2 linked regions of the Canis lupus familiaris genome follow. The protein of the gene in region 1 interacts with the protein of each later gene in a pairwise test. Links are inferred from orthologs where the notes say so. Each region holds a gene or a part of one and is shown on either strand. Other genes may lie near its edges.

Region 1 (3,677 bases):
GTGACCTGGGAGCCCGTGGCATGGGCTCACTGCCACCCATGAGGGACAAACTTTTGCTGGAGAAGAACCTCAAACGGCTGCTGAAGCTGGAGAACAGAGGGGTGAGATCTAGGGGCATGGCCCAGGGTGGGCAGGATGGACCCCAGCCCAGGGCCAGGCTTAGGCCTGGCTTGGCTGCTCTTGGATGCACCTGAAAGTCCCCCTTTCTCCGCAGAAAGGCATAGGTCGGTCCTGCTTCCAGACAGACTCCCTGCTGTGGGACTCACTGGGCAGCCAGGCCAGCAGCCAGCGGACCCAGGAGCCACCTCTGTCCTGGTTCTCAGGCCTGCTGGGCTCAAGCACTGGCACAGCCCAAACATCAGAGCTAGGGCCTGTAGAACGGGAACTGACTTTCCTCAAGCGAGAGCATTGTAAGGAGATCAAGTCCTTGTTGAACCAGCCAGCATCCTTTGACCTGCCTGGCTACTGTTCATTCCGTGAGCCCCATCGGACCCTGGACTTCCTGGCTGAGCACCACCTCTTCCCTGCCTTGCAGAGTGTGGTCCGCCAGGCCGTGGACAAGCTCAGTGGAGCCCGACGTCACGATGGCTGCCCTCTCTTCCCTTCAGAATGGGAGCCTGCAACAGAACCCAATTCTGACTCAGTGCAAGACTCCAAGCCAGAACCCAATTCTGACTCAGTGCAAGACTCCAAGCCAGCCACACCCACTGATGGGGAGGAGACTTACAATGTGCTTCCCATCAGAGTCTCCAGCTCCAAGATGATTCGAAGAAAGAGCACCAAGGGCAGAGGACAGGCCAAATCCAAGGAAGGTGGATCCCCTCTGTCTAGTGCCCAGGTGGCCAACAGATTAAGGGTTGAGGTGACACCCACAGAAGAACCCAAGGTTCCCTCACCCCATCCCAGTCAGGAAGCTCCTGGCAAGGACCCTAAACTACAGAGACCACCCATACCTTCTTCTGGGCCCCCAAACTCCAGCCAGAAGGCCAATCCCTGGCAGAGCCTATACCACCCTCTGCCTATCCCAGGGATCGTGGTGGAAGGGCCCTCCAGCCAGACCCAGTCCACAATCCAGGACATACCTCCTCTCACCTCCCCCTACCCTGGCTTCTCCCACCACCTTCCTTTGTTTTCACCACTTCCCTCCTCAGTGGTTAGAGGCATCTCCCCATCTGCTGTTTCACTGCGTCCAGAGATGACCTTAAGGGTGGAGCTAGGTGGGTTAGGGAAGGGTTTGCGTGGGAAGGGCTCCTTCAGCTACCACCCTTAGCAGCCACTGTCATGGCTATCTTGACCTGCACAGTGGAAACCACCTGGCCTAGTTACTGCCAGGTGTTGTCAAAGATTGAATAAAGCCTACGTTTCATTCTGAGTATTTTTTGTAATGTTTGCATGTGAATCTCAGAGGCCCTTCTATGTGGGCAGTGTCTTGTTCCTTGTGGACAGCAGCCTAAGTCAGAATGGGGCTCTGCATCCTAGGTCCAGCTCCCTCTGCTTCTACTACCTAGGACAGGACTCTTCAGCATGTCTGCTGAGAGGGAATTGCTCAGGAAGGGTATGGAGAAGACCTAGGTGGCTTCACCCTGGTAGTTCCCCAGCACAGTCCCTGCCTGACCCTTGTCTCACCTATGAAGACCCAGGCAGGCTTCCCTCCTCTGAACCTTGACCCAGGGGAGAACCTACCAGAGCCCAGGTTATCCAGGCTCCAGTTTGGCTAACATCCTGACTGACATCACCAGCCTTGCCACAGGCCTGACTGGTGTGGCTGGTGTGCGGCCCATGTGGTAAGTGTGAGGGTGTGGCTGACATGCAGGACCTGGGCTCAGCTGTTGATTGAGACAGCATAGCAGATGTGGCAAGGCCATACCCCTAGTGTGACAAGCGTGGCATTTGTGTGGGTGATGTGGAAGGTGCTCTGGGTATGAGGGGCATCCCAAGGCATCGGGAATGGCATGACGTGTCTCCCTTTCCCTCCCTGGCTGTTGCACAGAGCCCTAATTACAGGTTCGTGAAGAAGACACTACCCTCCATCTCATCCAAGTCCACCCTGTCCCACTTCCCCAACCCCGTGTACGAGGAGCTCGTCAGCTACTTAGTGGAGAAGGTTGTGTCCCTGGTCATCTACAAGTACAAGTTCGAGAAGAACCTCTCCAAGCAGCTGGGCTTCATCTCCTTCCCCGTCACCGAGACGCTCATGGACCTCTTCCTGGGCTTCAAGAAGGTGAAGGGCTCCCGCATCTGCCTGTCCTCAAAGATCAACTGGAACTGCCTGCTGCGCAAGCTGGAGGAGGCCGAGTGGGCCCGGCAGCTGTCGCGACAAGCCTCCCAGCATGACTCCGCCTCCCAGCGCAGCTCCCAACGCGGCCCCGCCCACCAGGGGGCGGGGCACAGCAGCACCGAGTCCCCCTCCACGGGGCCGGAGCCCGCCCCCCGCGCCGACCCGGCCGAGGCCGCCGAGCCCAGCCTCGACAGTGAGCTGCCGGACCTTCGGCTGCTCTGGGCTCAGGAGGATGCTGGAGCCGAGGAGCAGGGGCCCACGAGCGTGGGCGCTAATCAGAGCCAGGAATTAGTAGACGGGGACAGTCAGAGCAATGAGGAGGAAGATGAGGACCAGGGTGAGGACTTCCCAGACGAGGGCACGCCCCAGAGCTCTCCCCGAGCCTCAAGTGGAGGCGGACGTCAGCGACTCCACGAACACGAGTCACAGTGACCCTCCGTGAGGCCCCAGCTCCCCAGCACCCAGCGCTTGATTCCCTGCTCCTGCTCTTGCTCCAGTGGAGTGCTACCCCCCACCCCCACCCCCAGCCGGCTCCTGCCCCAAGCCGTCAGGGTGGGCTGAATGTCCACGAGGACCTCTGCTAGCCTGTCGGGGGAGCCAACAGGAGAAATAAAGCTTGTGTTGCTGGAGCAAGATGTTTTTGTCCAGAGTTCAGCTGCACTTCCACAGGCCTGAGCACCCGCCCTGGAGTGACACCTTGGCAGGCCTTCCTCAAAGCTGCCATGCCCTGACCCCCTGACCTCCCATGCTCTGCTTGAACACAAGTCGGCTTGTGGCTCTTCTCTGTTCCAGGGTGCTCCTTCCTGGCTTTTCAAGCCTCTTAGGACTCGTGGTCCCTTTTCCTAACAGCCCCTGAGCAACATCGTTCCTGCTGCCAGAGGACTCCTCCTCTGCCAGGGCAGCAACCTGCTCCCTTTGACATGCCACATCCTCACGTTCCTACGGGGAACCATGCATCCACCCTTTCCTGATGCCCCCAGAACTACCCGTCATTGTAATTTGTATTTCCCGGCTCCAATTCCTCAGTCTGGAGGGTCCAAGTAGGTCCCTAGGAGGCTGCCCCAGGCTGACCATGTGACTACCCTTTCAGCAGTGCCCCTGGGCCAGACAGCTCTCTGGAAGGCTCTGCAGACTTCGCTGGGGCCATGATTGGCAGGTCTCCTCTCCAAGTTTCTCCTGGGGCTTCTGGGCATCCTGTGCAGCCAGCTGAGCACCCTCCCTCTCTCCGCCTTTCCAGGGCAGCCATTCTGTGCCCCTATTTAGGCATCTTTTTTTTTTTTTTTTACTTTTTTTAAATTTTTATTTATTTATGATAGTCACAGAGAGAGAAAGAGAGAGAGGCAGAGACATAGGCAGAGGGCGAAGCAGGCTCCATGCACCGGGAGCCCGATGTGGGATT
Region 2 (3,712 bases), on another chromosome or scaffold:
TCCATGTACGAACCCTCATGTCTCCAAATGAAGGTAACTACAGGTGAAATAATCCTTTTTTTTCTGTTTATGACTTCCTTGTCCTGCCCTTAAAAACCTTTCCTTTCCTGTAGTCTTTGTGGAGTTCTCCTCCACTTGCTAGATGGGATGCTTCTTGATTCATGGATCATTTAATAAATTCAATTAAATCTTCAAATTTACTTGGCTGAATTTTGTTTTTTAACAAGCTATACCTCAAAATATCTTCAAAGCATAAAAAGCTCAAACTATGTATGCACTAGGCATATATTCTTCATTTATTCAATGTCCCAGCTAATTTAGCAGGGTAGGAGATTACACAGGAGTTTGGAACCCAAACCAGAGGCAGTAAGCATTTGTCTGGCCTGTCTTGCTTCAGTGCATATAACTCTTCTGGTTCCTTTATCACAACCAACGCTTACTAAATTTTTTTTTATTATGAATGCCGCTTTCCTAAAGACATCTGTTTTCTAACTATGATAAAATCTGTTTAGTTACTTTAAAGTGGAGACAGGAACATTTACACTCCAGGTGAATTTCAGTCTCAAGTTTAGTTGCTTCATATACACCCTGTTTATTTCTATTATTTTTTGAAACATTTACATCAAAAGGCAGATGGCTTTGGAACTAACGTCTGCATATGGTATACTTGTGATCATTCTACGAAGATATTTGTTAGGGGAGGTTTTTGAAAGTTTGTAAAGGAAAGCAGGGTGTAAAAAGGCTCCTTTTCTTCAAAGACTATGGTATCAAAAACATCGCAAATTTACATTAAAAGGCCAATATCTGACAACTGGACTTCTCCCTAAAGATTTACTTTACAGATCATTTTGAAAATACCAACTATGTTCATAAAGATGCCTCTTTTTTTTCAAAATAGAAATTTGAAACAAGATATGTGTTTCAAAAGCGATATTAATGTCATGTGGAACTCAGAGAAGATATTTTGTGTGATACGAGCATAATTTTTAAAAATGAGGCTTTTTCATCCCGCAAGATGAAGCATTTCTTTCAAAAGTGAAATCTCGCAATTTTTAATTTTTTGAGGCATGCTGGTTTTTTTTAAAAAAGGAAATGAAAGAGAAATTCTTTGGAAGAATTCACTCTGTCTCCTTGCCTCTCTAATAGGACTCCTGCTCCCTTCCCACCCCAGCCTTCATTCTAAATTTCCTGGAAGGATCTGAATTCAGGGGACGCAATGGGCAACGGTGGTGGCGCACCTGAGGGTGGATGAGGGAAAGAGGGGGTGCGGCCAGCGAGAAAGGAAGAGAAAGCGAAACAACTCAAACTCAAGGCCTGGGGCGGGAGTGGGAGGGATGAAGGGTATTGCAGACCCTCCCGGGTAACCTGAGAAGTTACCTTCCTGAGAAGTTTACACTCCCTCCGCTGGGAGGTGAGGCGTTTTTCGGGCCTCAAATTGTAGAGGACCAAGCTGAGTGACACGGCGGTGCGCGCTGGGGCTCAGTGCAGAAACCGGCTAAGGGGGTTGCCTACGCCTGTGCGTGAGGCGAGGCGTGGGGGCGGGTAGGCGCGCCGCACAAGCAGCTAGATTTGGGGGGCGAGCTCCATGGTGACGTGAGGCGCTCACGTGACGTGGAGCTGCAGAGCGACGCAGCCTTCGGTGCAGTCGTCACTCCCGTCTGGGTACCTGCTCCCCGGTGTCCTGCGCCCCGCGGGCTGGCGTCAGGCCCGAGGAAAGCGGAGCAGGTAAGGGCTCCGGGGCCGGTGCGCGAGGCCAGGGCGGCAGCGGTCCGCCTACTTTCGAAGCTGGCTCATTGGATCAGCGCAGCAGCTTTCTCCACCCCCGGCATTCTTGGGAACATCCGTAGTGGCCCCCTGGGGTGGGGGTGCTGGGGCGGCTGGGTGGGCAGCAGAGCAACTAAGAGCAACTGGAAATCACCCCCGAGTACCTGCAGGAAAATAGTGAACCTTCCGGGCGGGGTGGGGGGACGCTAGGGTTGAGAGCCGGAGATGGGGTTTAAGGGGGCGGCCAGGGGGGCCCGGGACCCGGAAGGAACCAGGTGGTGGCAGGTCGGCGCCAAACGCTTCGCAACACCCCCCCTCCCTCCACGCTGGCCCTTTGCAGGACTGCGAGCCTAGGTGTCAACTGTCGCAGCGACGCCCACACGGCGAGAATCGGGAGAAGGAGGAGACAGCAAGGATAGGCCCAGGTCGGTGCGGGGGACAGAGTGGGGGTCGGGTGCAGAGCCGAGTTTGTGACTCCTCCCATGTACGTCATCCCCTGTCCCCCACCTCCATTTTGGTGCCTGCGGAGCTTGGGGAAAGAATCCTGGGAAAGGAAAAATGGTGGGCTTTGGGGGAGGGAGGGTAAAGGAGAGAGCGGGAGGGAGGGGCTCGATTCGGAGGCCCCCTAGAGGACGCCTGAAGCTCCTAAGGTGGGAATTTTTTTTTTTTTAAACGTTAGGTACCAGATCTCTGGAGCCTGCTGCTCAGTACACCAAGCTTTCAGTCTCTCTCCTTGCCTTTGTCTTATTTGTGTTCAAAGAAAACCAACCAGGAAAAAAAATCTCATGGCAAATATCCACCAGGAAAACGAAGAAATGGAGCAACCCATGCAGAATGGAGAGGAAGACCGCCCTTTGGGAGGGGGAGAAGGCCACCAACCTGCAGGAAATAATAGACGGGGACAGGCTCGTCGACTTGCTCCTAATTTCCGATGGGCCATCCCCAATAGGCAGGTCAATGATGGGATGGGTGGAGATGGGGATGATATGGAAATGTTCATGGAGGAGATGAGGGAAATCAGGAGAAAACTTAGGGAGCTGCAGTTGAGGAATTGCCTGCGTATCCTGATGGGGGAGCTCTCTAATCACCATGATCATCATGATGAATTTTGCCTTATGCCTTGACTCCTGCCATTTTCCATGAGATTAATACTGTGACTCACATTGTTTTTTTTTTTCCTTGCCTTTTCCTGATAACCTTTACTGATCCATTTGCTGTGAACCGCATGTAATTTCCATGTGTCAGGTGGGTTCTGTATTACCAGATTCCAAATGGGGATTGCCTTGGCACTCAGTCTAAGTTTCTGTCAACAGTAGAGTCACCCAATTGCATGGAAAAGTGTAAAGTTAATAAAGCAATTAAAAAGCAATCTATACATTTATTATTGTCTCATTTAAAAGCATATGTATAATATGACCCCCCCTCAAAAAATCAGAAATCAGATGCTCCAGGGTGTTAATTGGGTCACGTTTCTCTGTAGTTGAATACTATGTAACTTTTTTCTTTTTATTATCTGAAGTTTTAGTAGCAAAAACAGTTTTTCAAGGAGTGTAAATATAGTATAGGTATATAATACTGGTTCAACAAACTTTAAGAGTCAACTTTAAGAATTTTCCAGTTTTAACTGGATGAATAAACCCTCCGTTTGTTACAGGTACATTGCTTTTAAGAGTCAATCTTCTTTCCTGTGAGGAGGAATAATGCTTGCCTTCCAGGGCAGCTGAGTGGAATAGATGAGGTGTGAAACTGTTGGGCTGCCTCCTATCCAGGTCTGTCAGGTACTTGGGAAGGACTAAAGGGAGTTTTCACCATGCTGACAAGCCCAAAGGGCAAAAATAGATGGCTTCCACCTTGTCATTCCTCTGATATTTGCAGTACTTCTCCCCTGATTATTGCCGTGTCAGGTGTACTTTCCCTTCTGGGTTCTGATTCTGTCCTCAAGGTAAGA

The links.
Region 2: the proteins of CCDC116 (region 1) and BEX3 interact in binary tests that used the Homo sapiens proteins (3 or more experiments, as listed by UniProt). The two-hybrid records come from large-scale screens. The link is inferred for Canis lupus familiaris from reciprocal best matches to the Homo sapiens genes CCDC116 and BEX3.

The regions. Positions count from the first base shown.
Region 1 is NC_049247.1:31,078,646-31,082,322, forward strand, and holds the end of CCDC116 (coiled-coil domain-containing protein 116), read left to right. Parts: coding exon 1-101; intron 102-214; coding exon 215-808; coding exon of another isoform or gene 809-1,270; exon of another isoform or gene 1,271-1,375; intron 1,376-1,990; coding exon 1,991-2,710; 3' UTR 2,711-2,912; downstream 2,913-3,677.
Region 2 is NC_049260.1:77,302,246-77,305,957, forward strand, and holds BEX3 (protein BEX3), read left to right. Parts: upstream 1-1,372; 5' UTR 1,373-1,725; intron 1,726-2,104; 5' UTR 2,105-2,189; intron 2,190-2,443; 5' UTR 2,444-2,549; coding exon 2,550-2,888; 3' UTR 2,889-3,137; downstream 3,138-3,712. UniProt on the Homo sapiens protein: May be a signaling adapter molecule involved in NGFR/p75NTR-mediated apoptosis induced by NGF. Plays a role in zinc-triggered neuronal death.